Linked DNA regions of Yarrowia lipolytica. The protein of the gene in region 4 purifies or fractionates together with the protein of the main gene of each other region. This does not show direct contact. Links are inferred from orthologs where the notes say so. Each region holds a gene or a part of one and is shown on either strand. Other genes may lie near its edges.

What was found. The genes of interacting proteins can lie anywhere in the genome.
Region 1: the proteins of YALI1_B04321g (region 4) and YALI1_E25866g purify together in Saccharomyces cerevisiae (affinity purification with mass spectrometry; 9 studies listed by BioGRID, with this or other methods). This does not show direct contact. The link is inferred for Yarrowia lipolytica from reciprocal best matches to the Saccharomyces cerevisiae genes RPN1 and RPT4.
Region 2: the proteins of YALI1_B04321g (region 4) and YALI1_B08801g purify together in Saccharomyces cerevisiae (affinity purification with western blotting; 3 studies listed by BioGRID). This does not show direct contact. The link is inferred for Yarrowia lipolytica from reciprocal best matches to the Saccharomyces cerevisiae genes RPN1 and DDI1.
Region 3: the proteins of YALI1_B04321g (region 4) and YALI1_C05088g purify together in Saccharomyces cerevisiae (affinity purification with mass spectrometry; 3 studies listed by BioGRID). This does not show direct contact. The link is inferred for Yarrowia lipolytica from reciprocal best matches to the Saccharomyces cerevisiae genes RPN1 and ECM29.

What each region holds. Positions count from the first base shown.
Region 1 is NC_090774.1:2,583,009-2,589,744, reverse strand, and holds YALI1_E25866g (uncharacterized protein), read right to left. Parts: upstream 3,160-6,736; coding exon 1,741-3,159; downstream 1-1,740. Other genes in the region: YALI1_E25889g (uncharacterized protein), read left to right, coding at 836-1,471; YALI1_E25859g (uncharacterized protein), read left to right, coding at 3,791-5,242; YALI1_E25826g (uncharacterized protein), read right to left, coding at 5,534-6,736. UniProt on the Saccharomyces cerevisiae protein: The 26S proteasome is involved in the ATP-dependent degradation of ubiquitinated proteins. The regulatory (or ATPase) complex confers ATP dependency and substrate specificity to the 26S complex.
Region 2 is NC_090771.1:876,710-883,123, reverse strand, and holds YALI1_B08801g (uncharacterized protein), read right to left. Parts: upstream 2,935-6,414; coding exon 1,741-2,934; downstream 1-1,740. Other genes in the region: YALI1_B08831g (uncharacterized protein), read right to left, coding at 1-19; YALI1_B08817g (uncharacterized protein), read right to left, coding at 43-1,341; YALI1_B08783g (uncharacterized protein), read right to left, coding at 3,595-4,749. UniProt on the Saccharomyces cerevisiae protein: Aspartic protease. Appears to act as negative regulator of constitutive exocytosis. May act at the level of secretory vesicle docking and fusion as a competitive inhibitor of SNARE assembly.
Region 3 is NC_090772.1:502,365-512,882, forward strand, and holds YALI1_C05088g (uncharacterized protein), read right to left. Parts: upstream 7,221-10,518; coding exon 6,909-7,220; intron 6,529-6,908; coding exon 1,741-6,528; downstream 1-1,740. Other genes in the region: YALI1_C05125g (uncharacterized protein), read right to left, coding at 8,180-10,222. UniProt on the Saccharomyces cerevisiae protein: Stabilizes the proteasome holoenzyme, probably by tethering the 20S proteolytic core particle and the 19S regulatory particle.
Region 4 is NC_090771.1:430,277-438,580, reverse strand, and holds YALI1_B04321g (uncharacterized protein), read right to left. Parts: upstream 6,422-8,304; coding exon 3,482-6,421; downstream 1-3,481. Other genes in the region: YALI1_B04391g (uncharacterized protein), read left to right, coding at 1-1,117; YALI1_B04370g (uncharacterized protein), read left to right, coding at 1,520-3,193; YALI1_B04309g (uncharacterized protein), read left to right, coding at 7,439-7,546, 7,637-8,044.

The sequences.
Region 1 (6,736 bases), on a different chromosome or scaffold from region 4:
TGCTTATTTACCAGTTCTAGTAAGCAACATGCTTATTTACCTGCGCTGTCAAAAAGAGCATACTGTGACAGATTGTGGAGACTTCCAGAAGTTGAAACGAAAAGGGAAATTGAAGCATGCCCTTGTAGATCCCAATGAGAAGTGTACTCGTCCTTGCACTTGTCGTCACGTGGTCAGTTAGGTGAGATCGAGGGATGGGGTCAATATACAACTGTCACGTGACCAGTATGATAGGTCCTTTGTGTGGTACAAATACACATTGTATCATCAATTAAAGCCCTTTTTTTTTTTTTTTTTTTTTTTTTTCACTCATGGCTCTTCCAGACTCCTACGGAAGACTGTTACTGTAGCCGCACTTGACTGAAAAGTGGGCTACTTGTAGGTGGAGCAATGTTGTCTGATGAGATGGTGGTTCAGTAACGGCAAATGTCGTGGAGTAGACAGGCGTTTAGTTCTGGGGATGGGAGGCCCGCCATGTTATTCGATTTTTCTCTTCTTTCTTTTTGTTTGGTTCTTAAATGGTAGAGGTAGAGCCAAGTATTAGGTCAAGTAAACGATCAAGTAAGATCCTAGCTTTTGTAAGCATTTTACCTGCTAGAAAGATCCTGCTAATTCCACTACCAGGGGGAAGCAATGGTAAGTAAAACTAAGTAATGAGATCACAATGCCATACTTTGTCGATCCATCTCAAAAACTGTCTCGAAATACTCGCATTGCGTCGTTTTGATTGTTCTTCGCCATCGTCTTTTTCTACCTCCTGCTCCTGCTCCCAATGCGTTGGAGTGTATAAAAGTACGTCTCACACAGTCTGATACATACGGCATCACTCTCAAACATGTCATGGAAATACGCACTAGGTCAGTACATAAAGAGTCCTGAAAAATTCCCCAACGATGTGACTCTCGACACACCAGACTTTGTCGTGATCAAAGATGCGTTCCCGAAATCACATATCCATTACCTGGTGTTACCCAAGGCTGTCAAGCCCGATACCCATCCTCTAAAGGCGTTTGAAGACGACAACCTGTACGAAAAAACTCGTGCCATGGTGGAAAAAGTTGAGAAAATGGTTGCTGTCGAGTTCATTCGTACAAAGGGATACTCCAAGGACGTGAAGATCCAGTCAGGCATCCACTCGGTGCCCAGCATGAATCATGTCCATGTCCATGTTATGACGACAGATCTGTCTTCTCCCCGGCTCAAGAACCGCACACACTTCAACTCGTTCAGGACTGGCTTTTTTGTGCCATTCAGAACGATCCCGGATCTGAAAGTCCCAAGTCTTGACGCCTGGATGGTCTCACAGGAGAAACTCATCAAGGGGGACATTGTGGTGGATGGAGAGAACTTTGGGAACAAGTTTGCAAAGGCCAAGAGAAGACTGGATGAGGATTTCCACAAAGCCACGATTCACGGTATTCCAGAGGAGGTGGAGGATGATGATTATAGGGTGATGGAGATGATCTCTTAAGAGACAAGTGGCCATAGATAACGAAGGACATTCATATGGAAATTGATGACATTATAACGAAAGCATGCTCATGATACAAGTAGCAACCAGGTCGTTTTCTCTCAGTACGATCTCGATGGAGTGTAATAGTTGACAACGTAGCTGAACATGGCAACATCGTGATAAACTCATTATCAGTATACATCATATGCCACAGCTGAAACATAATAGTGCTTTGGCACTACAGGCAAACTACACTCTCACTTGCGATTAAATGCTTAACTAGTCTACTACAACTTCTCGTACTCGAGCTTACCCTCCAGCTTCTTGTTCTCGGACACCTTTCTGCAGGCCTTGAGCAGATCGTTCTGAACAATGTAGTCCCGATCGTCTCGGATGGCAAAGAAGCCAGCCTCGGTGACCACGTTTCGGATATCTGCTCCGTTGAAACCGTCGCTCATCTTGACCAGGGCCTCGTAATCGATTTCGCCCTGCTTCTGAACGCCAGCAGCGTGGATCTTAAACACCTCCAGACGGCCGGCCTCGTTGGGCAGTGGGATCTCGATCTTTCGGTCCAGACGGCCTGCTCGCAGCAGGGCGGGGTCCAGAGTATCGGGCCGGTTGGTGGCCATGATGACCTTGGTCTTTCCGAGATAGTCGAAACCATCCATCTGGTTCAGCAGCTCCATGAGCGTTCGCTGGATTTCTCGGTCGGAGGAGGTTCCCTCGGAAAATCGACGTCCTCCAATGGCGTCCACCTCGTCCATGAAGATGATACAGGGCTCGTGTTCCTTGGCGTATCCGAACATTTCTCGAATCAGACGGGCAGACTCTCCAATGTACTTGTCGACGATAGCTGAGGCGGGCGAGAAGATGAAGTTTGCGCCAATAGTGGCGGCCACGGCCTTGGCCAGCAGGGTCTTTCCTGTTCCGGGAGGGCCGTACAGAAGCACACCCTTGGGAGGCTTGATTCCGACTCGCAAAAACAGCTCGGGGTTCTTCAGAGGCAGCTCAATGACCTCTCTGAGTTCACGGATCTGCTCGTTGAGGCCACCGATACCGGAGAAGGTCAGCTCTCCAGGCTCAAACGTGGTCATGTTGTAGACAAGAGGATCGACCTCTCGGGGAAGAATTCGCATGATAGTCAGAGTGGTCATATCCAGAGACACACGCACACCCTGCAGCAGCTTCTCCTTCTTGATGCTGGACCGACAGCCCACAATGTATCGGGGGCCGTTGGAGGCTTTGACGATGAACCGCTCCTCATCCAGCTGCTTAAGAACCTCGCCAATCAGCTGGCCTACCGACTGTAGCGCCTTGATGTCGTCCTCGGTCTTGTCGAATTTGCGCTCGAGGTCTCTGATGCCCAGTCGCAAGTCCTTGAGCTTGACCTCGTACTCTCGATGCTCCTTGAGTTTTCTCTTGAACGACTCGATCGCCTTTTCCCGCTCGGGATCTGTGGGTGTGGCAGCCACCTCGGGCGCCTCCTGGTTGAGAGCTGCGAGCAGCGGGTCGTTTTCCATGTTGTGTGTGTTGTGGTGTGTTGTACTGATGTAGTAACTGGAGCGTTGAGGTTCTAATATGTGAAGTGGTGATGCACCTCCCAATATTAGTGTTTGGTAGAAGAGTGGCGTATGGTGGCGAGGTGAGTGAAGGTGAGAGTACAGTAATGACAAATATAGACAGAATATCGGGGAATAAATGATCATCAATCGCTTTTATATTCCTCACTTATTGCTCTCAATATCCCCATTACTCCACAACTACTCTAAAACCTCGTATTCTGACACCTTCCACAGGATTACGTGAGGTAACAGAGTCTGGATGGGTATGGGTGGACCCATTCGCTCTTGGTGGTTATGCAACCACAGATCTAGTAGAGGTACCCGTAGTTGATGTGCTGTAATATAGACACAATGACAAATCCATAAATAAAGTGAGAAACCCCATTGAGGAGAAAGAGGTGTACATCTAATTATTGATTACATAAGCGTATAAGTAACTTAACCAAATTGTCACATTACTTCACCCAACAGTTGAACTATCTTTCATTTTACTTCAGAATGACTTTGAATATAGGTCTATCCAACTCTACCAATATAGATCCCACATATAATCTGAAAAGTGCATTCTTCTTGTAATTTCTCAGACAATCTGCTTCCATCATTATCTTATCGATAGGATATCTCCACATCTTGTTACAGACACCGCCATCCCCGTCAAATAAACTCCGATGCAAGCTCCATGTGCAGTGAAATTTATTAGCATTGAAAAGAAGCACATAAAAGATCACATAAAGCACACACCACCACCACTCTGTGCTAAATCTCCTCTGCTACAATGGGAGCCGACTTCAAAGTGTTCATTCTGTGCGGCCAGGGCAAAAACATGGCACCTCTCTCGTCCGTGAGAGCGTCTGGAGTGCCCAAGGCCCTTCTTCCCATGGCCAACGTGCCTGTGATCGACTACACCCTCAAATGGTGTGAGACCATCCCCAACCCCAAGGTGTTTGTGTGCTGTTCTACAGCTGACGAGGCGGAGATTTCCGCCTACGTGGACTCTTTCAAGGCTGAGCACTCCACCTCAGTTGTGGCTTCCAACGTGACTATCTGTTCCAAGACCGATGCGAAGTCTGGAGACTTCATTCTGGAGCTGACTCGAGGGGAACCCTCTGATTTCATTGTGGTTTGCTGCGATTTTATCACAGACATTCCCGCCAGCTCGCTGGTCGACACCTACCGAAGCCGAGACTCGGACTCGCTTCTCACAGCCTTCTACTACCCCAATACCCTGGAGAACGTGGACAAGAAGTCATTGCTCAAGGACGTGACGGTGCACTCATCGCTGGACTCGCGAACCCCGCGGCTGCTGGACTCGTATTCGCGTGACTACATTGAGAACAAGAAGACCATGCCCATCCGCCGATCCATGCTGTGGCACTTCCCTAAGTCTTTGGTCTCCACACAGCTGCTCAATGCGTCCGTCTACTTCTGCACTGCCGACGTGTGTAGAGTCATCACCGAGACTCAGGCTGCCCCTGAGGAGGATTCCACAGACGAAGATCCCGACACCCGATCTTCGTCGCCTGTCAGACAAGAACAGGAGGAGGCACACACCATTCTGGCCAAAGGCCGACAGTGGGACCGAGTGGTTCGAGACATTGCCCGACGGTCGTGGGCACATGCGAAGCCGCTCAAGTCTGTGTCTCTGTGCGTTCTGGACTCCAATACCTTTGCACGAGCAAACAACCTGTCTGCATACATGGAAATGAACCGAGTGATTCTGAAGGCAAGAGCCAAGGCCAACGCCACTGCCCAGAAGCCCGCTCCAGCTGTTAAGGGAGCTGCCACTGTTGGTGTCGACTCTCTGGTCGGCGAAGAGACCCAGCTGGGCGAGCGAACCAGTATAAAGCGATCTGTGGTTGGAAACAACTGCACCATCGGCAAACGATGTCGAATCAACGGCTGTGTCATCTTTGACGGCGCTTTCATTGCCGATGACGTTACTCTGGAGAACTGTCTGGTCGGAACTAAGACCACAGTCGGTACCAAGGCCAAACTCACAGGCTGCAATGTTGAAGGAGGATACAAGGTGGAGGCTGGCAAGGTGGCCAAGAACGAAACCATGCTACAGCTGTCCTTGGAGGGTTTGATGGAGTCCGACGAATACACTGACGACCATGACGAAGATGACGATGATGACGATGACAGCGAAATGGGCGACTCGGACGATTGGTCCGTCAGCGGAGGAGACGACTACGATGATGATGATGGGCTCTTCGATCGGTCTTAGAAGGACAAGTATAGCTAATGTATGTTGGATAGAGTATGGAGTAATTACAGACTTGATCTAGAATCACAGAACATTTTCACGTTCTGAAATGTTCCGCACTCGTATGTGATGTTCAAGTATAGTTGTATCTTGTACAATTATCTACAGTCACCGAATCCGCCACAAGTAATATACATAATTGTCATCATTCATTATTCATTACTGTTCTGATACATACAGTATCATGCCATAGGGTCGCTAGCACTTTCTATGAGTACAAATATTCCTTCGTGGTGCTGCTCTAAACTGAGATTAAACAAATGCTTCATCTCCTAGCCTCTTCCTCAGAATTTCAATCTCTTTATCGAGATCCTTCACAGACATCTCTAAAGGCCCCAGTTCGTCGTACTTTCGCCTCTGCTTGGCCTCCAGCATCATGTTCTCCACCATAAACCTCTGTTCCTCCATGACCACCAGCTGTTGCTGAAGTGCCTTGTAGTTGGCAGGAGGACGGGGTTTAGCTGGCTCGGGGGCTGTAGCTTCACTACCCAGCACCTTGGGAAGCGTTTTCAAGGGCAGCATCTTCTCTTGTAGAAATGACACCGCAGCTGTGTATATCTGTTGCTGTATTCGCTCTTCTGTAGGAGACAGTCCCTCCAGTGCTCCTACTCTTCTAGCAGCCGAATCTAGCTGCGAAAAGGTATCGAGAAGACGCTTACGCAGCTTGGACGCTGCCAAAATGTCCTTGGGATGCATACCGGCCATCTTTTTGGACGCAATCGTCTCCTCAAGCTCCTTTTGGAACCGAGGCATCATGTTTTCGATGGAAGTGGTCAGATGGGTCATGGTGTTGTACAGCTTAAGCAGCTCGCTGGGATCGGAGTTGACATCCCGCTGAAAGTTACGTCTACCAAAGACTGTATTCTTGCAAGTCATGCAGATCCGTATGGGTTCGCAATCTGTTGGAATGGTGTCGCTGAACTCCTCTTTCATATCGAGACTGTTGATTAAAATGTTCACACCAACAGGAAGAGAACATTGTGTGGATGTCTGTCCACACACCACCTTTCCGCACACCCTGCAATGATGAGGGCGGATCAGAAAGGTGAATTTGACCTGGCATTCCGGACAATTGGGCTGTGTTGAGTCTTCCTGCCATGGTACTGAGGCTGTGACAGCCGCCTTGGGTTTCCACCAGGGTCCCGAGCTCTCGTTCTCTATGCTTTCCTCCGCAAGTCGTCTCAGTCTGTTTTCCAGCTTATTGACGGACAGCTCCTGGATGTCGATTTTCGCCTGGCGTTTTTTCTTGAACTCTTGCGTCAGATCTCTTTCAGTACCTGTCGTGTCATTGTACCCTTCTCTGCCCGTGTAGCAAGTCTTGCACACCCAACACCAGATACCGCCCTTTGGTTGGTGGTGAGCATCTCGGCTCAACTTCATTCTGTAGCGACTGTGGCCGTGGCAGAAGATGTTTCCACAATGTCGGCAGTGCCTTGAGCCGTTCCTGGCTCCCAG
Region 2 (6,414 bases), about 450 kb from region 4:
CTCTCAGGAAACAAAACATGCTGGCGTCGTGGAACTGGTCAATCAGCGACTGGAAAACGGAAGTCCGGTGATTTTCCCTGTTTTTTGAAAGCTCTCGAATCCCGGCATTTGGCCGTCTTTGATGACTTTGTCGAAGCCAAAGTTACAGGCCACCATTTCTCTGAAACATGTGTCTAGATCGACTCGGATATTGCCTCCACGGGGGTCCTTTTCCGGCATACCCTGATACCGCCCCTCCGTCCGAGTCCGGAAGTAGTCCTCCATATGAAGCAGCACGTTGGAGTTGAGCGCGTTGGTCTGGTGCATAAACAACGACACCCGCAAAAGAACAGAAGCGGGCAGATTCCGGGCGGCAGGAAACATGTCGATCAACAGCTTCTCCCGTTCGAACGCAGGCTTGTAAACAGCCATGCTGAATCGCCCCGAATCAGACATCCACATGGTTTCGGGAAGGGCCCGCCGAGCAGACTCAGGCAGACCCGTCCAAGATGACAGCCAAGCCGGCAGAACAATGCCATGGTGGTTAAACATGACCCCCAAACGATCCAACAGGTCCGGAGACGCGGTTCGGCGAGCCTTAAGAGTCATATTCTGGTCCTTGAATATGCCCACATTGTCACCAACAGGCAACCAACCATGGTCCGCGAAAAAATGGCTCGCCAAACTCATGAAAACGTGGTTTGGAAACGGCGGCTCTTCATTGTCGAAAACAACGTCCAAATCATACGTTTCGCGCCCGTCGTTCTTGAGCTTGAAATACGTCTCTCTCGCGCTCTTCCAGATGCTGTTTCGAATCTCCCTCACGGTCTCGCGAGCCTCCTCATCGACCATTGGCGGTTTCTCCCCCCCAATGGCTGCCAACACAATCTCCAGAGCGGTATCCTGATCATGCTGGGCACAAAACGCCTTCAGTTTCTTCTCATCAAGTCGATACAGCCGGAAATAGTCGCACGTGATCTCATAGGCATCCTTGAACGTGGTCTGGTAGCTGCCATACTTGGTCGAGTACTTGTCAAGGCGCCCTCGCGTCACGGGAGCCCCCATACAGCCACAATGGAGCGAAAACACCAGGTCGTAGATGGTACGCATCAGACCCAGTTGCATAATCTCCCGTAAACACGTCTCAACCACCATCCGCATGCTCCAGGCCCAGTCGGAATGGGTCACGTTGTCGTCACTCATGTCCATCAACTGCTCATAAGTCGTCAATACCAGACGTTTCAAAACACGCATTCGTCGTGGACACGGTCGCTCGCCCGGGCAACTGGATGCTCCTTCAATTCCCAGCTCGAATCGGTCGTGGATCTCCCCCAGATCAGGTCTCACTAACGTCGGCCGCATGGTAGGACAGGCAAAGTTTGGATTTTTGTTTTTGCTTTAGATCTGGTGCATTGGTAGGTGAAATCACGAGATTTTCAGGTTGCGGACTCCTTCAAATGTGCTCTTTATGCTGACTAATTTGTGGGTCGGTAGCGATAATATTGAAGGTGGTGGTATGTTATTGATGACAAATGTACGAAAAAAAAAAGTGAGAAAGTAAAAATAAATATACATACAGTATGCCTTGATGAAAGTCTAACTAATGACGTGCATCTCGCTTAGTGAAGCCTAACTATTGTTTACTAGATTTTTTCTGTTTTCCTCTTTTCGGTGATTTTTTTATTTTTTATTTTTTACAATCCATACGAATACAATATAATACATCCACATATGTACTCTCATTCACAAGCTCCCTAGAGCTCACTGAGAAAACAACAAAGAAGCAGCCAACTCCACATCGCCGTCAGTCTGCTTGAGAGCAACCACAACCTTTTCCCTGGAATAACCCAGAGACATGAGATTGACAATATCTTCATCCTTGAACGCGTCTCCGGCAGACCCATGGTCCTGTTTCTTTTCCTTCTCCTGGCCCAGCTTGCCAAACTCGTCGGGAAGATCCTTCTCGCCCAAGAAGGTGGCCTTTTCCTCCCCAATCTCCAGCTGGTTGGTCCGCAAGTTGACGTTGGCCTTGAATCGCTTGAGCATGTCGAGCCCCAGAATGAATTGGAGCTGGTCGCCTTCAATGACCGAAACGGAGGCGGGGAAGAACGAGGAACCGATCTGAAGAGGCACAGAGTGTACGCGGCCCAGAATCTTGCCCGAACCCACTCCTCGCGCCACACCGGCAAACTTGACATCCAGCATGTGCGACAGGCCGACCTTTTCGCAAAACTCCTCCGACAGAATCGTCATCTGGGCTCCGGTGTCCACAAACGCCTTGACATCGTGTCCGTTGATACGGCAATTGATGTACAGCATGTCTGTTCGAATAAACATCTCCGGGTGGTGTTCCATGGCGTTCTGGTACGACTCCTCCACGTTTTCCTGTCGAATGATCTCCATGATTCGTTTCTGGTTGTCTTCATTGTCGGGGTCGGCGTAGAGCCGCTGCAGCTCCTTCTTGCGCTCGACTTCCTTGGCCCGCAGCTCGTTCTGCAGCTTGGTGAAGGCGTCGGAGAACTTTTGTGAGTCGTGCACGTGCTCGGCAAGCTCGGGGTTGCTGAGTTTCAGCTGATCCAGCGAGTCTGCTCGCTCCAGAATCTGCGTTCGGATCTGCTCGGCGCGGGGATCAACCCGCTGAGCCGCGGGCAGTCCGGGAATCTGGATTGACGAGAAGTCCAGTGTGGGAATGGCGGGCTGGGCGGACGTGGAGGGATTGGGAGCCACTCGTTTGGTGGTGAGAAGAAGCATGGAGTTGTCGGTGACTCCAAGAGACCCAATCGTCGCCTTGGGGTCTGTGTCGACAATGGGGTTGCCGTTGAGACTCAGAATGATGTCCTTGGACGGCACGGACGCCTCCATCTCTACAAAAGCCAGCAGGTCCTCGTAGGCCATATCTGCGGCGACCTCTAGTCCAAACACGTTTTCAGATGGCGTTGTCACAAAGATTTGCATGTTAAATGGGCGGTAAATGGGTGGCGGGGTGGCAAATGAGTGAGTGACAGAGACGGTGGGCGTGTGGGGAGCTTTATAAGTGTTAGACGGTTGTGTGGGCTCCGTTTTGTGTCAGATCAACACGATAATGAGTGGCGGTTGCAGGAGGGTGCATAAACTCAGATTAGGAGTGGAAGTATTGGTAATCAGAAATTGGTAAGATTTTCAAGAAGAAACAAAAGGAGAATATTCTAGAAAAGAAGCACCAAAAAGTGGCACTTGGGGGTCTTCGGAACGAGATATCTCGAGATATCACCACCATCAAAACCCCACCAATGATAGTCACCTGTAGAGTATGTACCATACCTACGATACTACAGCATGAATTTCAACTCTGTCGAGAAAACAGGGTAGGGCTTACTCCTACGCTGTGCAGGTAAATATATATATAAATGAGGGCGTTCAGCCCAATGAGGTCCTGGGTCCTGGGTCCTTGGTCCTGGGTCCAAATTGTTCCAGCCGAGATCCAAATTTGTTTCAGCCCGAGATCCTAATGTTATATGAATAAATGGGGGAAAGAATCCGTTTTTATGCCCCGTCGCCAGAACACAAGAGTATGTGCGTTTGTGCCCGGCTGGCTGGCGGGCTGACTACCACCACGTTGTTGTCCACGGCGCCTGACTAGTGCCGTCTCAACAACTCCCTCTCGTCGGAAATATCAAAGCCGTCGTCCTCGTCGTCCAGATCATCCAGCCGCGTCATGCCCAGCGACTGCTCCTCGTCGTAGTCGTTGACGAGCCGCACCTCATGCTGTCTGAGCGAATCGGACCGTCGATGCAGCGAGTTTCGGGCAAACTGGGCCGACCGTCGGGTCTGCAGCGACGCCACGCCATTGTCCATGGGAATGCCATCCAGAGCCCGGCCGGGCATGAGGTTGGATCCATCGGGGTCCGTCTTGGAGATATTCAACAAATAGACTCCGGTGAAGATGATGAGAAAGCCACAAATGAGCGAAATCACGTCGACGGCGGAGCTGGTGTTGAACCCCTGGAACAGAATGAACGAAGCCGCCAGAGTGCAGGTGGTGAAAGTGACGTAGTACAGAGGGTTGACAATGTTGGTGTCAAATTGGTCGAGGGCCTTGTTGAAGTAGTTCATCTGGGTGACGATGCACACCGCCACGACGATGAGGAACACGTAGGTGGATGGGTGGGTGAACTGGTTGTTGCCGCCCAGCGACAGCTTGAGGGCGATTCCAAACGCCTTTATACTCATGACCGAGATGGAGCCCACCGATGAGCAGATGGAAATGTAGATCATGGGGTTGACTCGTCCCAGTCGTGGGGCCACCTTGTAGATCATGAATCCGGCGAACGCGGCCACGGCGCAAATATACATGAGAAACCCGGGCTGCACGGCGTAGTTGAGAATCTCGTCGACGGTCTGAACGTCCTTGTCGGCTGGCGCATGGAGCACGATGATGACCGAGCCGATCAGGCAGATGGCGCAGCCCAGAGAGCCCAGAATGCCGAGTTTTTCCTTGAGGAAAAACGACGCCAGAACAGCTCCAATGATGACGGAAAGCGCGCCCAGCGGCGTGACAAGAATCGCCGGCGCAAACGTGTAGGCCGCGAAGTTGGCTATCTCGCCGACCGCCATGGTGATCATGCCGGCCCACCAGATGGGGTTTTTCAGATAGGCAAACGAGTCGCCGGCGTCGGCCGAGTGTCGGGAGGAGGCATCCATGAGACCCTTCTTGGTGATGATGAACGACGTGCCAATGGCCAGCGACGACGAGATGGCCAGCGCCAGTCCAATGTATTTATCGTCTACCATGGCGTGCTGTAGGGTTCTGTGTCAGTAGATGGAGTTGAGACCAAGAGGTGCATCCCACGTCACTCGAGCTCAACTTTATTGCGTCTGACAGAGACAGAGAGAGTGGTGAGGAGTGGGTCTGGGAGGGCGGTGAAAAGAGATTAGGGAGAGCGCGGGTTTATATATTCACGAGACGCGATTCCAGGCACGACAAGTTATGTGTCACTCCACCACATTACGCTGGCGTCAAAATGGTACACGTGATATATCCCACACCCCGCTAAAATAACTAAAATTGCAGGTACAAAAAACTGTCGCGTATGCACTGCCTCTTCCTACAACTTCCTACAACTTCAGCAGCAGCATGACAGGGTCTCGATTGTCACGTGGGTAGGTCATGTGATTGTGATTAATAAGAGGTAGATGAATAACACAAATGAAATAAAATCAATTGCATCTTCTATTTATGCGATATTAGTACAGTAGTTATCTCCACTCCTTCTGCTACCCCAGATCAATCAAATTTCAACCGGTTCCAGTTTTGGAAAATAAAGTTGGACCGATTCGAATTAATGAAGCCATTTTGGAGATTTAAAAGTGTTCCAAAAGACGTGATTTTCGGTCTGGCAATTTGAACAACCCAGATTATCTCATGATATAAATTTGAAGACGATATATCCACCATAACATGTCAAATCAGACGAATTTCACCCGAAACTGCCCTCGAAACTCTATTAAATAGAAACAAGCAAAATACGTACGTGGCGTGAACCAACATGGAAAAACAGCCACATGGAGATGAACATGGCTGGGGAGGAAGGTCCAGAGATTGATTAGCAAGCAAGGTTGGATTATGGACAATGAGTTCGTTTGATTATTAATACGTTTTGATTACTATCACGTGACACTCAAATAACCCTGCGTGCGTCTTTTTTCTTTTTTTTCCCTTTTTTTCCCCTTTCTTTTGTTCAATTTTTTCCCCTCCATCCGTCGTCTCTGTTCTGTAGCAGTTGATTATTCATCATTCTTTGGCGAGCAGTCAAAATGCTGCAAAACATGCCAAGGAGGAGTACATACGTACGGAGGGTGGACGGAGGAACATGGCGTCATCAGAGCTAGAAGAGTCACGTGACGCACCTCGAGTTTTATCAGATTGATGTTAGTATCAGATTGATATTAGTGCAATAATAGCTGCTACAATAGCTGCTGTTCTAATACAGTGTTTGTGCTGCCATAATCTAAGTAATGTACCGCCAAGATAAGTAATATACTTGAAAAAAGGAGTCGACATGAAACCTCAGAGAACATTCCTCTACGGAATTGTTCCAGATCTGGTCTTTACAGGTGATATTCCACAAAAAATTGAGCAACTTCTCTCTGTACCAGTGTCATCGTTGTAGAGTTGTACGTTAACAATGTTTTTTATTCATTTTTTATACACCTTTTTCTTTTATTCATGTTTTTTATTCACTTTTTTATTTCACTTTTTATTTACTTTTTTTTTTTTACTTTTTTATTCACTTTTTTATTCAACTTTATTACTTTTTATTTAACTTTTTTAATTCATTTTTTTAATTCACTTTTTTATTCATGTTTTTCATTCATTTATTTTTCTTCATCCAACTCAGTTACCCTACAGTATCACACCCAACGAACCTATACTAACGCAATTTTTAGCCCATTTAA
Region 3 (10,518 bases), on a different chromosome or scaffold from region 4:
TGGTGAAGTGACTTCAGAGACTCTGCGATTCTATGGATGTGTTTCGTGCCGCAATTTATGTGGCAGCAATGCAAGTGGTAGGGCGGGAAGGACTCTACCGATAGTAATGTGGATGTGTTTGTGTCTGAGACTTTGTCTGTGTTTCTGTGTCTGGGCAGTGTGTGACTAGGTGGGATGGTGGCTAGTGGCTGGTTGGGAGCGTGTGTTTGGAAGCGTGTGGTGTCTTGTTTGGGGGGAGTCGTGTACAAGTGTACAAGTGTACAAGTTGTCAAAGTCGCGTAGCAAGATTTATTTATGGATGTGTGTGACGCGTATGCACGTTATCTCACAACAAGCCTTATCAACGCATTTAACTTTAAGATAGCTGGGGAAGACCAAAACAATCACACCGCAATGATTGAGGTATGAGGGATAAAAATATAGACCGGATAGAGAAAATGGGGAGGGAGAAACCCTCTATATATAACATTGTCCGCACAAATGCCTCCAGCCACGCCAACACCCCTCTGTGGCCCGCCCTTGGACCGCCGTTTGCCACATGACTGCGGGAAATAAGCACCAATCATGGTTCCCATTTAACAACATTTGCACGGCCAAAGAGTGCCTAAAAGGGACACGCAAAGATGACATCAAATGACCCTTACTTTATTAGCTCCCGGGAAATGTCCATACCAGAAAGCAATCAGAGATTGAACTAAATACCGCCACAACGGGACGAAAAGGCAGCCACGGCGCTCCGGTCACGTGTTCTGGATCACGTGGGGAGACATAATTGCTCATAAAGTCACGCCACACACACACAACCCCTCCGTATTCAGGGGGCTGGTCACATGTCTCCCTGTCCACGTCCACATGCCCTGCCCCACGTTACTCACTCATCCCCCTCGGTTGACGTCATCTTTGCTCTGCACGATTATGCACCTCGTGCGCCACGTGATAAGGTGGGGTAGATGCGTTGATAAAAGCTAGGGCACGCATTTTTGCGGTATAAAATGGATTAAATAGGGGGAGAAATGGTAGATGTAGATGAATTTGCCACGCTGAAATGATAATGACAGAAAACACTCTGATGATCAAATTCAGTGTCACTAACGAAAATTACGTCATTCGCACTTGACCTATATTTCTACTACAGTACATGCAGTAAGCTCGGAATAGCCATTAGTAGGAACTAATAGACAGGGCTAGTCCTTTATCTCACACTAGCTACAATAGTCATAGACCGGGTCAAGAGTGGATACCAAGGAACTGTTGGGAAACATGTTGAGAATGCAGTAGGACAGAACAGCGGGGTTATACCCTTTACCCTTTACACAGCGGACATACTCATGTAACATTTAACATACCTCGGCATGACCGCGGAGTGGCAAACTAAGTGTGGTTGAGCATTGAAGACATGGAGGAGAACCTGGAATTTCTCTATCGGTTACATAATGCACCAGAAATCTATATGTCAGTTCTAGCGGCGAGGGAGGCTGTCTAGAGCAGACCATTCTGCTTCCCTCATCTCAACCATCATCCCAACTAAATCCCCACCATAATTGTAACCTTAACTAATTAGAATTAATTAAATGTCAACTAAATACTAACTAAACGAATAGGTGGAATACATACAATATACAGTATTATGTAATTACAAAATAATGAAAAATACATCTAATCAATTTATTCTATCTAATCATAATACATCTGATGCAATCAATTTAATTTGACATCACCAACAGGGTCGGATTTCCTCGTTCAGATGCTCTTCAGAACTCTCCCGAGCTCAGCCTTGACAATCAACGACTGCTCATGCTCCTCCGCCAATACCAGCACCTCTCTCACCTTCTCCTTACTTGCATCACTCATCTTCGAGTTCAAAACAGCCTGCCCAAGTTTACACACCTCCACCTTGGTTTTGTCCAAATTAGTAGTCAGCAAACAAGTATCAGCAACCAGGGTCCAAATCTCCAGGAACTGCTTCTCAAACCCAGCAGGCTTCTCCTGGCCGAAGAAACCAATAACAACGGAATACAGAGCCTGCGAAATACACAACTTTGTCTTCCATGTAGGATCTACAGACTTCTTAGTGGCCAGCTTGTTCAGATTCTTGGGAGGAGTCAAAGCAAGCTGGATCCACTCGGAAACCTGAGAAAAGTAGGATGACAGGAAAGAAACGTCCTCGTCGGTGCTCTCAATCGACAGAGCTCTGATAGCAGTGCCCAGAATGGCGTTTCTTCTGTCCTCACTCTGGGATTTAAGGAGCTCCTCCTCATCATCAGAATCCATATCCACGTCTTCTAAGTCCGACTTGGAGAGGAGGTAAAGAGAACAAATGTCAGAGAAAATATCAAACAGCTGCTTCGATGGGAAGTGGCCGAGATACCTAGACGCAGACTTGAGCGCAAGAATCTGGTACTCTCGGTTCTTTCGCTTGATTTCAGTGGTCACCACCTTATCAACAACGGCATCGTGGAGGTTGAACTTGATGGCCAGAGAGACAAGAGCGTCAAACACAGCCTCTTTCCCAGTCCAGCTCTTACCCTGGCAAGCAGAGATCATCACCTCGAAGAGCTCATCATTCAGAACGTTTTTACCCACAGAATTGCAAGCATCTGCAATGGAAGTAGCAGCAATCTGTTTGATGTTCCACTGCTGAGAAGACAAATGGGGCGAAACCAGAGCGATAATCTCCTTAATGTGCAGAGAAATGGCCCCTTTGCCTCCAGTGTTGTTATTCCAAATGTTGGTAAACACATCCTGGACAGCAGGATCTGAATCGTGTTTGCCTACAAATATGAGGGGCAACAAGGAGGCTGACAACGAGTCAAACTTGTCAGCGGCATGAGCAGCGATCTCCTTCACTCCAATAGCAGCTGAGATTCGAGCTCGTTCAAGAGTACCTTTTTGGATTTCTCCAAAGTACAGGTTCTGCAACTCAGTAATGTAGCTCAGAACGGATTCGTCGTCCGCCAAACGACACAGGTAGCCACAGGCAGCAAGGTACGATCTGGACACAGTCTCGTTTCGATCGTAAATGCTGGGAATGGCTGACTTGACGAGAAGTGGACCAGCGTAGGGTTTGAACAGCTGGGTCTTTCTAATAGTCAAGGTAACAATGATTCGCGAACCAGCAACCTTGGAGGGCAACCCAACCGATTTTCTTATTGACAGAGTCAGCTTAGGAACAATCTTCTTCATCAGATCGGCGTCACAGAGGTCGATAATCTCCTCAATGGAGTCCATCATGGGGGAGTGACGCACAGCAGCCAGGCGCGACGAGTCAATGTCGTTGGCAGTCGTTCCATATTTGTCGGCGTTTAGAGCAATGTAGTTCATTGCCTGCGGTTCGAGGGTGGATAACAACTCTACAAACTCGGAGAGAAGATCTGGAATAAAAGGCTTCAGTCTAGAACCGCCCTTCTTGATCAGCTGAAGCAACACATCCAGAGAGAAATGCTGGACCTCTTCAGCTGACGATTGCAGACCGGAGTTTCCGAGCAGGAAAGGAATAATCTGGTCCAGCACCTGCTTTGCAGTAGCGTCTGAAATGGAGTCACTTTCCAGAGACCGAACAAGAGCAGTAGTCAGGCCACGTGTGAGACCAAGACCGGCAGTTCTAACACTCTCTTTGATATCGTCAACGACTCGGAAACAAGCTGTCCATATTTCGGACAAATGATCGAGATACTGAGAGATGGGTCTACCCTGAAGTAGGTCCAAAAGAGCAGCCGAAGAAGCCTGTCGAACTCGCCACTCCTTGGAAGAAATGGAAGAGAGCAGCTCCTTGAGGATGCTCTCGAAATGGGAATTCACCGTCTTAGTGGAAGACTCGCCAATCAACATCTTCCAAATGTTGGCCATGACTTGTCCAGTACTAGGATCAAACTTGTACCGGTACAATTTGGGAATGAGAGTGTTTCCAAGAGCAGGGTTGTCGGCCAGCTGCTGTTCGAGCGAAGCCTTGGCAAAGATGTTACCCAGACCAAACGCAATGCCCTTTCTGGAGGACCAGAGAGACGCGTGATTAGCCAGAGACATGAATCGGTACACGAGAGAGGGATCTCCGACTTCAGAAGCAAGCGAAAGAATATCCTTGTAAGTGGAAATCGATCCGTCGTTGGTATTGAGAACTCCAGGCTCGAAAAGTTCGGTTTCTTGATGCACCTTTTGGTTGTGAGACGACTTATCGGTGACGAATGAGGAGACAAGATTCTCAACCAGATCCTTCTGCAATCGAGAGTCTCCCTGCTCGAAAACAAGAGACAATCCTCGGGAAGCAGCCTCCTGGACAATGTCGTCTTTTTCAGGCAAAAATCGCATGAAAGCAAGCTGCAACTGAGGAAGAAGGGCATGGATCATATGACCACAGTACTGGACCACAGAAAGAAGCCATATGGCGGTACTCTTCCGCAGAGAAGGCTTGGTCACCGTCTTTGCCATGTTGATCAGTCTGGTAGTCAGCTGGCTCACTCGCTCCTCTGCCAGGGAACTCACAGGCAGCTTATCTGCAATCTTCCACATCTTTCGCTTGACGAACTTAGTCTCCCACCCAGCAGCAAGCACACAAAGTGCCTCACCGGTGAAGAAGGCAAAATCCATCTGCTTTGACTCAATGGCAAAGATCTTATCAACATTGGACTCAAAATCAGGACTGTCCAAGTTGAGATAAGCAAATGCAAGCACAGAATGCTCGGTGGGCTTGACCAGAGTCTTCTTTTTGACATCATCGAGACGGCTCCAGTTGTCGAGAGAGATTCTGTGCAGTTTCATCTCACTCAAGAAAGTCTGAACGGACTCCATATCGATATGAGTGGAACAAATCTCCAGCGCGGAGGAGATGTCTGACTCAGACAGGAAAGAAACCAGGTTGGAAAAAACGAGAATGGGTCCATCAACGTTCTTTGGCACGTGGTTGAAACACTGAGCAATTAGATTATGAGCCACCTCTTCGCTCTGCTCCAGGCCAATCACACGAGCAGCGTGGGACTGAATCTTGTAGTAGGGAGAGGTCAGAGCAAGCTGAACCACGCTGTTGTTGGCATCAAAGACATTGTATGACTTGGTAGACAGAGAAACCAGGGAATAGTAGAGCTCCAGTGACACTTCAGGAAGAGTGGAGAAGGTCTGATGAGTGGAAATGATATCTAGAATAGGAGAAATGTCGGTCTTGCTCAGATACTCAATAACGAGCTTTCTCACGTGATCATCACTCTTCAGAGCTTCATCCACACGTGTTTCCCACTGTTCATCAACCACACAAACAGTGTCATGACCCTGGATAGCTGTAGCCACAGTTAACCGAACCAGGTAGGGAAACATCCACTCTGCGGCCTTTTTGAGATCAAATTTCGACTCGTGGATCAGTTTACATAACTCAAACACATCGGGAAACTGGAAAATGTCCGAATCCGAAGTTCCCTTGATCACGTCGAGCGAATCATGGCTGGTGATGTATGGAACATTAACAGCTCGCATCCAGTAAGGGTTCAGTCCCCGATTACACTCCTCAAGCATGTCTGTCCGGCCAAAAGTAAGGCCAACAAGACAAAGGAAGCGCGCATGAGCGCTTGAATAGGGGAAGACTCGAGTTGCGTACTTAGCAGCCATAAATTGAGTCGCCTGGTGGCTGATGTACCGAGACAGGTGGGGAATCAGTTTCTCAGCTGTCTCGGGGTACTTTGCCAGCGGATTGATGAGCTCTGACAAAGAGTCACCTGCTTTCCGGTCAAATAGGAACGTCACGTGAGAAATGTTACTCAGCAGACGAGAGTCTCGACGCAGGATACCGCCCATGAGCTCCTGTGCTGACTCGGCGGTCTTGGCATCGTTTCCAAGGTGAGTAACACGCTCGAGAAGGTCTCCAGAGTGGCGCAAAAACAGCTCTTCATTGGAATGCTTCACAATCCAATTAACAAACTGGATGATTGCAGCTCGAGAGTAGAAATCAGTCTGGGTGAAGTACTGGATGGCTCTGAAGGCGTCATCGACGTTGGCAGCATGCACCGAATGACACAGAGCCGCGAGAATCTTTGCCTGAGTCGTTTGCTTCACAGGGGAAGATCCATTGTACCCGAGGAGAAGCTGATAGAGCTGGTTAGTAAGCATCTCGGACTCCAAATCTACCTGGAGTTTCTTCCAGGCGTCGTTAGCTGGCTCTCCAATGGCTGAACTGCCGTCTGTAGACGCACACAACAGAGGAATGTACGACTCTGTGTCTGTAAACAACGCACTAATGAATTTGAGCAGGTGACTCTTGACGGCAGTGGTGCATTCTTCGGCTGACAGAAACTCGTATTCTCTGATGGTCATTCCGGTTCTCTTGGTGGCAGAGAAATTGAACACGTCTGTGAAGCGAAGAGCGAGGTACGCAATGTCGTTGTCGTTGACGTCAAGGGTTTCACGAAACTTGTCTGCTTCAGTGGATCCTCGGGGAGGGTAGGTCATGAAGGGGAGGAGTTTAAGTAGGATGCGGAAGACCGCTTTGGAGTGGTTGTAGGAGAGGGTGGAAATTGAGGAGATAAGGGGAATGATGAGGGTAGATTTCTGGGTTAGTAACGGTAATGAGTGGCCGTAGAGGATGAAAGACAAGAGCAGGTTGTATCTGGAAGTGTTGCTAAAGATCATAGCTGCAGATAGTGACATGGTCTGAAAGCCATGTTGCTTGGATAGTATTAGGAAACCCTAGCTTTAACGCATTCATTCCGTTAGATTTCATGGATCTTCAAGATCACATTTAAACTAGACATCTGTTGTTTCACCATCGTATCATATATCAGATCAGACATTGATGTCAGTGTGGCACACAATTGAGTTGTGGAACCACCACCTGTCTGTATCATTATGGGGTCCGCAAACTGTCTGTAGCCCATAAATAGCAGCGGGTTGTTAACCCTTTGAAGGAGTTATCGCCCCACAATACTCACATCATCACCCATTCTGGCAATACCCATTTCAATGTACATGAGATCGAAATTTCTGATAAGTTCACTGTCACTCTCGACAAACTGTTTGACCAAGGCGTCGACAGGCAACTTGAATGTCGTGTTCTTGATTCGCGTGTTGATATGCTGGCACATTTCAACCACCTTTTGTCGCACTGACACGTTTTTGGACGCCAGCTTGGTCAACAGAGGCACCAGATAGACGCCGATCGTCTCGCCCAGTTTGTCCTCTTTGGCCATTGTGATCCGCAGATCCACCGCGTTGACCAGCTGCAATTCTTGTGTTTCGTCCATGCTGAGGTGGTTGTAGTGGAGAGAGATTATCGGCGATAGCAGATCTAGGTTGGACTGCATGGTGGCGGTGGCGAGGTGCAAGGGGGTGCAAATGGGTCACGTGAGGTGTCGTGTGGGCACGTGCTGTTACTGAAGGGGTGCAAAAAAAAAAAACATTCATTTCGGGTGTCTGTGGCCTCTTATATCGTCGCGGTGTTAGCTGCTACGTACTGGTTGTAACCTCAGCTATTATGTTATGGTATTGCCGTTGAGATCATACATGAGGGGAAGAAAAAGGGGGGGGAGTGTAGAGGGATTTGTAGAGAGAATAGAGGGATCAAAATTATATAGTCTTGATCAGCTCCTCTGGAGGAGTTGATTGATGTCATAATATCCCCATGTTGCCTTTCTATTTTGTTCTCTTCTCTCTAAAAGTATGATGTGATTATGTTCGCCTATAAGTATGACGACGTTGTGCCATTAGTTTGGATGTAACATATGAATTGGCGTTGTATGTAGTGAAGAATTTGATGGAAGAATGACAGGCTGAAGTTATCGGAGTACAGTACGTACAGTAGCATTGGATTCAATCGCTATCATTCTTGTTCGAGTATAATGGCTTGTTCTTCTCTTGCTATTGTGGAACTGAGTGTGGCCTGTAGAAGATCTATTACTTAGGTTGTTAACAACACTTAAATTTAGTTGGGATTTTTGTTGACTCGAAGGAAAATCACGATACTCGTCGAAATTCCATACGATCCCCCTTGGATTTACTCCTTATCTCCTTGCAGAGAGTGAGAGAGGGCACTAAAGTGTAATGGATGTTGTAAACACTAAGATATATACAGAATGGACACACCTATTTGTGCCGGTCCCAGTTGTATGCCACGAGCACCCTCTATACCCTCCTCCATGCATTTACTAATCATGGGATATGTTACAACGTATTCAATTACATCACCTCATGTCAACCCCTCTCCTTACTTCACCTCCTCAATCTTAGCTGACAACTGCTCAGCTTCAGGAGCAGTCTTAATTCGGGCCATGTACTTGATTGGCTTCGAGTCCGCGTCGAAATCGACAATGTTCACGTTCGACTTTGTCGTCGAGTACGTCAACTCCTTTCGAACCACACAGTTGAGAAGCACTCGTCCACTCTGTTCTGCTCGCATCAAAATTCGGGCCTTCTTTGTGTCCTTGTCCACCAGCACTCTCAGCTGACCCACTCCACACACGTCCCACTTTCCGTCATCCAGCTTGTACAGCTTGGTTCGGTACTCGGCGACATTGTCTTCGTTCTCCTCACCTGGTCCTTGTCCTGACAGGTCATCCGAGTCTGTGACGGTCTTGGGGGTGTCATCTGGTTCACCGGACTCGGTGGAAGAAGCAGCAGCAGGCTTAGTCTCCCCCTTGGTATCACCCTTGAACAGGTTACCGGAAGAAACACCGAATGCAGGCTTGTCAGAGGAAGACTCAGTCTTAGCACCAAATGCAGGGGTGCCGAAAGAGAAAGAAGGCTTGTCCGAAGAGGCTGACTCAGCGGGCTTGGCTCCGAATGAGAAGGCAGGCTTGTCAGATGACTCGGCGGACTTAGATCCAAACGAGAAAGCAGGCTTGGGCTTGTCTTCAGCATCATCAGCCTTAGCGCCAAAAGTAAAAGGCTTTGCCGAAGAAGTACTTCCAAACGAAAATGCGGGTTTGTCGGCAGACTCTTCGGTCTTGTTGCTGCCGAAAACAACTCCCTGAGAGGGATTCCAGGTGAAGTCCTTCTTGTTTTCGGACTTGTCTTCCTTCTTCTCCTCCGGCTTATCCTCCTTCTTCTCCTCAGTCTTGGTCTCGGACTTGAAATTGAAAGGACCGCTGGAAACCTTCTTATCAAAGGTGAACGAAGGACCTGTGCTCTTCACCTCGCTCTGAGGCTTGCTGAAAGAGAAAGCAGAGTTTGTGGTAGTGGGAGGTGCAGCTAAAGTAAAACTGGGGCCCTTGGTGATGTCAATGGCATCGTCGTCAGAGTCGGAATCGGAGTCCACAGAAACGGGCTCAGGCTTCTTCTCTTCCTTCTTTTCTTCGGGCTTCTTAGCTGTGAACGAAAAAGAAGGAGCAGTCTTCTCTTTGGCAACATCAGCTCCAGACTTGTTAAAACTGAAAGAAGGTCCAGAAGGAGTAGAAGATCCAAATGTAAAGGGCTTGGCAGCAGTGGTGGTGTCCTTGGCGTCTGTCTCCTTAGTAGTGTCAGCCTTAGGGAAACCAAAAGAGGGAGTAGTTACAGCAGGCTTATCCTCCTTGGTATCACTAGATGTACCGAAAGAGAATGGTTTCGACACTGCGGGCTTTGCGGCTGCCCCAGCTCCAAAGTTGAAGGAGGGTGATGATGTAAAAGTGCTGGTGGAGGTAGTGTCCTTTTTCTCAGTGTCTGTGTTGGCAGCGGAAAAGTTCTTAGTAGCTCCAAACGAGAAAAGCGACGATTTGGGCTTGTCGGCAGAAGCAGGAGTCGGTGTGGCTGTAGTAACAGGCGCAGAAATTGTGCTGGTGGTGCTGGTAGTGCTGTTAGCAACGTTTGCATGGTCACCTCCAAGTGTCTTAGAGTACTCGAGATACTTGCTCACGACATCAGACAAATCAACTGCGGCATTCTCCCGTACCTTGGCGAAAATAGTGTCCACGAACTTCTCGTTCATTGCAATACGCTTCAATGTAGTATCTGATGTTGAATCATTGTTGGTAGTGTTGGTATTGGTAAACCCCCCGGTAGTGCTAGGAGAAGAGAACGACATCTGGGGCGCAGGAGAAGCTCCAGAACCGAAGCTGGACAGTCCAGAAAAGCCATTGGAAGCCTTAGGAGTAGATCCACTGCTTCCGTTGCCTCGTCTCTTGGGCAAGGGCAAGACCTTTCTCTTGGACATTGTAGCGGCGTCAGCTGTTCGAGCCTCCTCCACGGGCTCGTCTCGACTGTATCCTTCGCCGCCCTCAAAGTCGTCCTTGGTGATTTGATTGAGAGCTCCTCGTTTGTTTTGGAAGGACATTGTGGTGGTGATTCGAAAACAAATGACTCTCGATAAGACTTTCCATGTATGTTTGGTATAATATTTATTTCTGTCTGTTTCGAGCCTCCCCTAACCTCGTCTCAGCAGCCTCAACTTGGGTGCTTATGTGTTCGATTCCTAGCGAGGTCACCTTCATTGAATATATAAAGTTCATATATAAAGTTCATATAAACTTTAAAATATGATAACGCTGCGTTTTCTATATTCGGATATAATCAATTGTATCTTAAGACAGCTCATAGACATTATTTTATTAGTCACTTATTTTTATAGAT
Region 4 (8,304 bases):
TCCTGTAGGAGGACTTATTGCTGACCACTTGGGCTGGAGATACATGTTTTCATTGCAGGTTCCTTTTGTGGTTCTTTCTTCCTTCTTAGTGTTCCGGTACGTTAACATCAAACCAAAGAAACTAAAGGTTTCTAACGCATCTACTCTGGAACGAATTGATGTCTTTGGATCCATCTCTATCGTCTGTTTCCTGACCCTCCTGTTGCTGGTCATCAACATGCAGACCGACACTCGAACACTCTCCAACAGTGGAACTCTCCAGATGATGTCTCTGGCCAGTGCCATTTTCCTGGCCGTGTTTTTGTACGTCGAGATCAAGATTGCACCTGAACCTATCATGACCAAGGCTGTGTTTGGACACCTGAAGCCCACTTTGCTGACTACATCAGTCTTTTTCACAACCATCACTCAGTTCTCAGTTATCTACTACACTCCTGTCTTTCTCCAGGTTGTATTTCTGGAGAGTGCTGCCCAAGCAGGTGTACGACTCATTCCTCTATCCATTGGAGTATCCTCTGGATCCGTTATCACAGGCCAGCTTCTCAAGAAGAACACCAAGGAACGATATCCTCGAGTCTTTCTTGCCGGTCTGACTACTGTGGGAATCTCCTGTTTCGTTCTATCCCGGCTGATCAACTCTTCAACTCCCCACGAGGCTACTCCCTTGGCCAATGTGCTCAAGAGCCACGGAATTTCCCTGGAGCTCGTCATGGCCGTTAATCTTGCCTTCCAGGGTCTTGCTCAGGGCCTAATTCTCGTGTCAACACTCATCGGACTGTGTTGCCAAACAGGAGCTGCTGACTCAGCCTCTTCCATTGGAGTCATCTACCTCTTCAGATCACTTGGATCGGTGCTTGGAGTCAACGGAGTTGCACACATTCTGCAATCGCGTCTCCGTTCTGAGCTTCCAGGAATCATTTCCGACCCCGAGCTGCAACTCAAGGTCCGAAAGAACGTTGAATTTATTAACCACCTAGCTCCCGAGATTCAGATTGATATCCGAAACGTCTACAAGCACGCTCTTGCCTACGTGTTTTCGTCGTGTTCGTTTATCGCCTTTATTGCATTCTCCATGGGTTTCATCGTCTGGTGGCATTCCAGAAGAACTGAGAACTAGACAGCACCGGTGCGGTATCTGTCACAACAAAAAGAACCATATAGATGTTCTAAATAGCTAACATGACTTAAAATTATGTCTCCAACTGTAGCCCAGAGACGTGAATTAACAAGATGGGAGTTGAGTTGCACTTTTCATGAATTTAGTTAGGATTACTGAGGTAAGGCAGCTTATAGTTGTGGAGTTTGTTTAGAAAACAATACGCAAAAACATCCCATCAATACTCGGTAATGACGGTCAGACTTGAAATAAAACCCGAAGAATCAATTAATTACCACCAGGTAAGACACCCATTAAGCCCCCAAATTCTCAACTCCCCATTTACAGCTTCTTCGTGACTGCCCAAATAACCAATTGCATCCATCAACAGGCAATATTAGAGCACAAAGTTACAGGTTGCAGATGACCATCCATTTCACCACCATGCTACGACAAATAGGACGTCACAGCGTTGGTCTGAGACGGTACACGACCGCCGGAACACGTGACTCACATGTGCTCACTGGCTCTGTCTACGGCACCACCGAAATCGATCTGTTCAACCGTCCCACCAGTACGGAAAATGACGTGAAACTGGAACCGTCTGAAACCGCCAAAGTAGATGGAAAAGTGTCCATGGAGCCCCGAATCCCCAACAAGCTCATCAGTCAGGTGCGTGGTCTATTTCCCGATCGGGACTCTCTCCATGCCCGAGTTTCTCTGGCTGATTCCGTCGGTAGAACCAGAATCGGTATTGTGCCTCTGGGTCCCCAAGATATGACTGTCAAGAAGCGCAAGGACGCTAACATTCTCAATGCTCTACTGGCAGACCCACTGGCATCCGACCAAAGGTGGTACGACGCTTTTCTGGCTAGAATTGCGTCCAAGGATATCGTTCTGAGTCCTGGCAAATACACCGGCCACGGCACACAAAACTCGCGATGGGACATGAGCTTGCCCTCGCCATTCCTAAAGGAGGTAGATGTGGACATTATGGAGGCCACTTCATTCGCGGATTCTCTCGATAACATTCGAGATTGCCATTGGATCATCTATGTCGGAGAAGGAGAGGGTCTCAAGGCATGGCCCTCCGTGAACCTGCGAGACCTGGCTGAGGACGACTTCGTGGCTATTGTCAGTGCCACACTTACAGTCAACTCCGAAGAGGCCTTTGAGGCCGTTTCTCTGCTCAGAAAGTCTCCTTCCAACTCCCCCAAGTACCTCAAGCTGTGGCAGAAGTCCAATTTTGAGCAATTATCTCGAGCAATGAAGCGAATGTCCGCCAACCACGACCGTGCTCTTCGATACAGCATTTACCAGACCTGCCGGGATTTGTGTGCCTCTGACGTGTCCAAGGAGTCTCTTATGAAGGGCGAGGCGGACACTATCAAGACTCTGCGGTCAGAATGGTCCCGAAACGCCCACCGGGAACTCCAGACGGTGCTAAAACAACAGCTGCTCAAGTGGCGACAATCGGAACTGCCCTGGTACAAGCTGTACTGGCGAATTGACGACGTTGATGGAATCACCCGAGATTCTCTCGAATACGCATTCTTGCCTGCTTCAAGACAATCCATGTGCTACCTGCTTGGCCGAATCGACGGCTTTGCCTGCACCACTCCTAACTCTCCCGAGCCTCTCACCGACGGCATCTACGGACTTTCTCCCGTCGAACATTGGGACAGCCCCTCAGACGACGTGATTGGCCAGACGCTGGAGGAGTTGGATGACACTCTGGTGTCTGAGCTGCACTCGAGAGCTTACCACGAGTTCCTGAAGGTTGTACTCGGCATCCAGCTTCCTACAGTCATCATTCCTGCTCTTGGAGTATACCTCTACGACCTTTCTCTTTACAACATGGGCTCTATCGCAGCCTTTGGTATTGTCTGGGGATGTTTCAAGCTGCAAAAGACCTGGGACGCTCTCTGCAGCGACTTCTCTGTTGCAGTTTTTGAGAAGGCCAGAGCCAGCATCAACTCTTGTGAACAGCTCATCTGGAGCAGATGGGAGGGTAAGGCTATCGAGGAGAAGGAGAGAGTGGACGACCGAAAGAAGTTGGTTGCGGAGATGGAGGAGTCGATCACACAGAACAAATAGACGATGTGAGCGAACCTGTTATTGTCTGTGGTCAGCGATGGATTATGATGAACCACGAAACTACTACGGTACGAATGTATGTATAGAATAATCATCTGAAATTACCTACAGTTCAGAGTATCGTCGTACTGTCACTTGTACTGTAGCTACGCTATAGAATCTGAATAACTATTACTGACTTTAGAATAGATCAAATCGCGGCTGTACATCCGTTACTACGCTCCTGCCATTTATTGCTGTATCCTACTATTCATTTCCATTTATTCATTCCATACCTATCAGAGTATGCTAACTGCTCTCATCCATTCTGTCGGGGTTCTTCTTGAGAATGACAACGCCCTCCAGAGACGAGGCCAGAGGAATGTACTCGTCGTCCTCCAGCTCGGCTCGCTCGCCATGACTCAGCAACACGGGAGTGCTATGAGTGACCCAGCCGGTGATGGTCTTGGGCTTTCCGGCCTGACCGACTGTATCCACAGCCTGTCCGACTCGCACGGGCACCTTGATAGGCTCCAGCTTCTCGTCCAGAGTGATGAGCATGCGGGGACGAATGGCGTTAGTGAGCCAGAAGAGCATCCAGTGGTTGTCGGCTAGGATGAACGACTTGGGGTCGATCATGGTCACCAGAAGGGTAACCAGCGATGCCAGAGACACCTTGGACAGAATCTGTCGATCGGTATGGAAAGGAGACACAGTAAGAGTACCCTTACCCAGATAGAGCAGACCCTGGGCGATTCGGACGGTGAAAAGTCCGTCGGGATCCTTAGAGTAGTAGGAGGCGAGCTGTCGGAGCAGCTGGGCCAGACGGGCGTTGTTAGTTCCCGCTCCCACCAGACCCATGGAGAAGATGGAATTCAGAGCAACCTCCATATCGGCGTCATGTGAGTATCGCGACAAGGTGTCAAACACACGCATCTGTGCGTTGGAAGCAGACACCAGACCCATGGCAAGAGGAACAGCTCGCTTCACCTGGGCATCGCCGTAGTGCATGAGATGACCAAAGTGTCGGAGAACCATCTCCTGGCCAATTTCCTCACCCATTGCAACAATGGCCAGACCAAGAACAGAGTATGCCTGGTGAGAAGAGGCCTCTTCCGAGTCCACCTCCTGTGTAGCATCAGCAGCAGCCTCTCCTTCGGCGGCGACGGCTTCGGCGGTAGCGTCAATGGCGTCAGCAGCATCCGCAGCACCCTCAGCACCCTCAGCGGTAGCAACAGCACCCTCAGCACCCTCACCTTCACCATCGCCTTCTCCGTCAGCCTCTCCCTCAGTAACATTCTCTCCAACACAGTCATGCAGCAACTTCTGGATCTGCAGAACGTTACCAGTACCGGCGTAGGCACACACAGTGATGAGAGTCTCGCAGATTCGGCCCAGAGGATGGTCAATGGCTCGAACAGTCTCAACTGCCTCCTCAATCTCCTCGTACTTGCCAATAAACAAAAGAGCAAGACCCAGAGCCATGAATCGGGCCCACTTGTCAGACAGCTGGATGGCATCTCGCTCAAGCAGAGATCCCAACAGAGCAGAAACGACGTCTCCGTTAGCAGAGCCGACGAAGATGTGTCCCAGAGCAAGAGCAGCCATGGCAGAGGTCTTCATGGAGGTGTCAGTGTCCTGAACCAAAGGCAGGAGCATATCCAGAAGATCTGTCCGTCGAGATCCGGCGTATGCAACACCCAGACCCATCACAGCAGAAAGCTGGTTCAAGTTGTATGCGTTGCCGTTGTTGTTCTCAGCTGAGGGCTCCTCGGTGATGTGGTCGGCAAGAAGAGCGACAGCAGCGTCTGTCTCGTCGTAGACACCAGCAGTGACAATACCCATACCCAGAAGAGCTCCAGCCTTGATCTGGGGCTCGGAAGAGTAGGCGTACTTGTCGAGTTGCTGCAGACCTCGACTGAGATCCCACTGGAACAGAGATCCCAGAGAGGCTGTGGTGGAGTACATTCCAGCGAGCTTGGTCTTGTAGATCCAGGCACCAGATGCTCCTCCAGCAGTAGCGTCTCCATCATCCTCAGCACCTCCATTGGTCAGCAGACGGTCTGCCGAGTAAGCACAATTGACAAAGGCATTGACGAACGACGCAGCCAGGTTCTGCTTGGCAGAGTCAAAGGCCCCCGACATGATGATGTCTCTTGAGTTCTCCAGGTGGCTCTTGTAGATGTCTTCTGGAACCTTTGGCTCCAGCAGGTTGAGCTCCTTAGTGAGGTATCGGAAGTGGTCAGCCAGCAGGGCGTTGGACATGCACTCCTGTACGCCCTCGTCAGCCACATCAAAGTAGCACTTTTGTCGAGCTAGAATGAACGCCAGCTGCTTCTGCAGCAAATCGTCGCCACTGGCAGCATCCATAACCGATTTAATGAGCTCCATGTCATCCAGACGGATCGCCAGGGCCAGAGCCTGGGTCAGCTGGCGGTGGGCCAGGTAGATAGCATAAGCGGTGTGTAGGAAGGCCACGTCATCTGGGGGTGCCAGCAGGGGCACACAGGCGACCATGTAATGGCAAACACGGGCGTATGTGGTTTCGTCAACGAATTTAGGTAGATGCTCGACGGCCTCAATCTCCAGCAACAAGTCCACGGCGTCGGCTTCGGCGTTGTGTTTGAGGAAAAAGGGTACCAGCTTGATGCCCAGGTTTCGTACGTCGGTGAGCGATCCAACACCAGAATTGGGGGTGTCCAGAGTTACGCCCTCCTTGGCATCGTCGCTGGTCTCAACCTGCTGCAATTGATACTCCTGGCCGATTTCCAGAGCAAGGTGGCGAACATACTCGTGTCCCCAAGATCCCAGATCGTCGGTGGTCGACTTGAGTCGGAATTTGAGTGCATCTCGCTTGCCGTCGCCGGAGTAGGTCATTGCGAGGACGGAAAGCACGTCTGCGAGCTGCTGCTTGTGTTTGGCATCGGTCCAGGTGTCGTAGAGCTCAGCAAGCTGGGGGTAGTGGGGCCGCAGAAACTTGAGAGGCTTGGGCACAGCGGTCATGGACGAGGTCGAGGTTCGAATGAAGTTTTTGAGAGCCTCGAGCGAGGGCTCGTACAGAGACTCGTCCTTCTCGGTCAGACGCTCAACCAGCATCTCCAGCTCCGACTTGAGCTTCTCGTCCTCCTCAGACAGCTCCTCTTCATCCTTTCGGGCTGGTTTTTTGTTCTTGTCGTTGGGGGCGGTCTTGTCGACGGTCTTCTCAGCCGACTTGTCGCTCGGCTTATTAGTCACGTCCTTGGCAGCCATGATTGAGATCGATGTCGGGTGGTAAAGAGATCAGTGGCAATTCCAATGACGTCTACTTGTATGTGGATGTGGTTGTGAGAAGCCTAAAGAAGGTTATTGGGAGGTGGCGCGAGTTCGATTTGCAGGTGGGTACGAGTGGATGGGACGTGAGCGGCGGTGGTGTAGTTGAATGGGTTGGTAGAATGAGATTAAACTGATTTGACTGATTTGACTGGATCGAGATACTTATATTCTTGTAATCTTAAGACAACTTGTCGACTTGTGCCTCAAAGCACCCCTGCTGGGGATTCTGTTGGGATCATGATTACATAAGCTAACTGGTGTGGTTATCCTGATGTGTTTGATTTGGATCGGTGAATACTGTACATGTTGCCGTTCTTTGCATCATATCCAACCAGATTACATGACCAGAGAAACCGAAAGCATCGCAAAAGCGTATAAACTGCGCCCAAAGCTCATACCAATTCGATTGCTAAAATGAGAGCGCACAATTGAAGAGCTTTGAAGGTGTGGAGGTGTTTTGGAATAGACAGCTACCAGAACATCGTGTACTGTAACACTTGATACAGTGGCTGTGTATCTGACCCCATACATGGCCACTTTAGCTCACAAGTGTCAGCCAGTGGCTATCACTACTTTGCCGCACCTTCTAAAACCTCATTAACAAATCCAACTCTTGTCTGCCCACCTGCTGGTCTACCGCAGACTTGGTTAACATAATCAAGGGTCTCTACTGATTAAGTGCATATGAATCCTGCATGCTTACGGAGATTAACATAACTCCGAAAGCTGATTTTGGGGCGAGAAGGGGTCCATTTTTTATTTTGAAACCGTCAAATGAATATTTCAGGCAAGAAAATCCCATCTACATAGTCCAGTTTCTCAATCATCTCCTCAACACTAAGATATACTCCCTCCACCCCCACATGATTGTCTGAGTTTATTCGCCCCACATACATGGCATATAGAATATGGCGTGAGCTCTTCTTTTCCAGTACATCTCACCACTCGTCACCCATGCTCCAGGAACCAATCAATCTGCCCAAGTGGCTCGAGGAGAACCAGCACCTGCTGAAGCCTCCGGTTAACAACTTTTGTATCCAGCGAGGAGGCTACACTGTTATGGTGAGTGATTTATGACATGAGTCAATGATCCAGCTGGGGAAGATGATTCACAACTATTGTGATTTGCCATTGCCCAATCAACTAACACAGATCGTTGGAGGACCTAATGCTCGAACTGACTACCACATCAACCAGACCCCTGAATGGTTCCACCAGAAGAAGGGCCACATGACTCTCAAGGTGGTGGACGATGGAGAGTTCAGAGATATCACTATCAACGAGGGCGATATCTTCCTGCTCCCCGCCAACGTGCCCCACAACCCCGTTCGATATGCCGACACCATTGGTGTTGTGGTTGAACAGGACCGTCCCGAGGGCATGAAGGACGCTCTGCGATGGTACTGTCCTAACGAAAAGTGCCGAGAGATTGTGTTTGAGAACTCGTTCCAGCTCGTCGATCTCGGCACCCAGATTAAGGAGGCCATTCTTGATTTTGACGGTGACATTGAAAAGCGAACATGCAAGGCTTGCGGTACTGTCGCTACTTCCAGACCGTAGACAGCTGGTAATCAACGGCACTGCCAAAGGCACCAAGTATCCTGTTAGTCAGTCACGCGAGGTAAGCTACGTGAACTGACAGCATATCCACACACCAGGGGAAGCCGGGCATGGGTGATGAGTCCGAGTGTGTGGGGTATTTATTCAATACACAGTGCTCATATCACGTGAGGTACTAGTTTGATATGTATGCCTAGTACATACTGTAGCACAACACCAGTCATGAACTGGAGAGCCTCTGCTTTCCACTATGTATACCA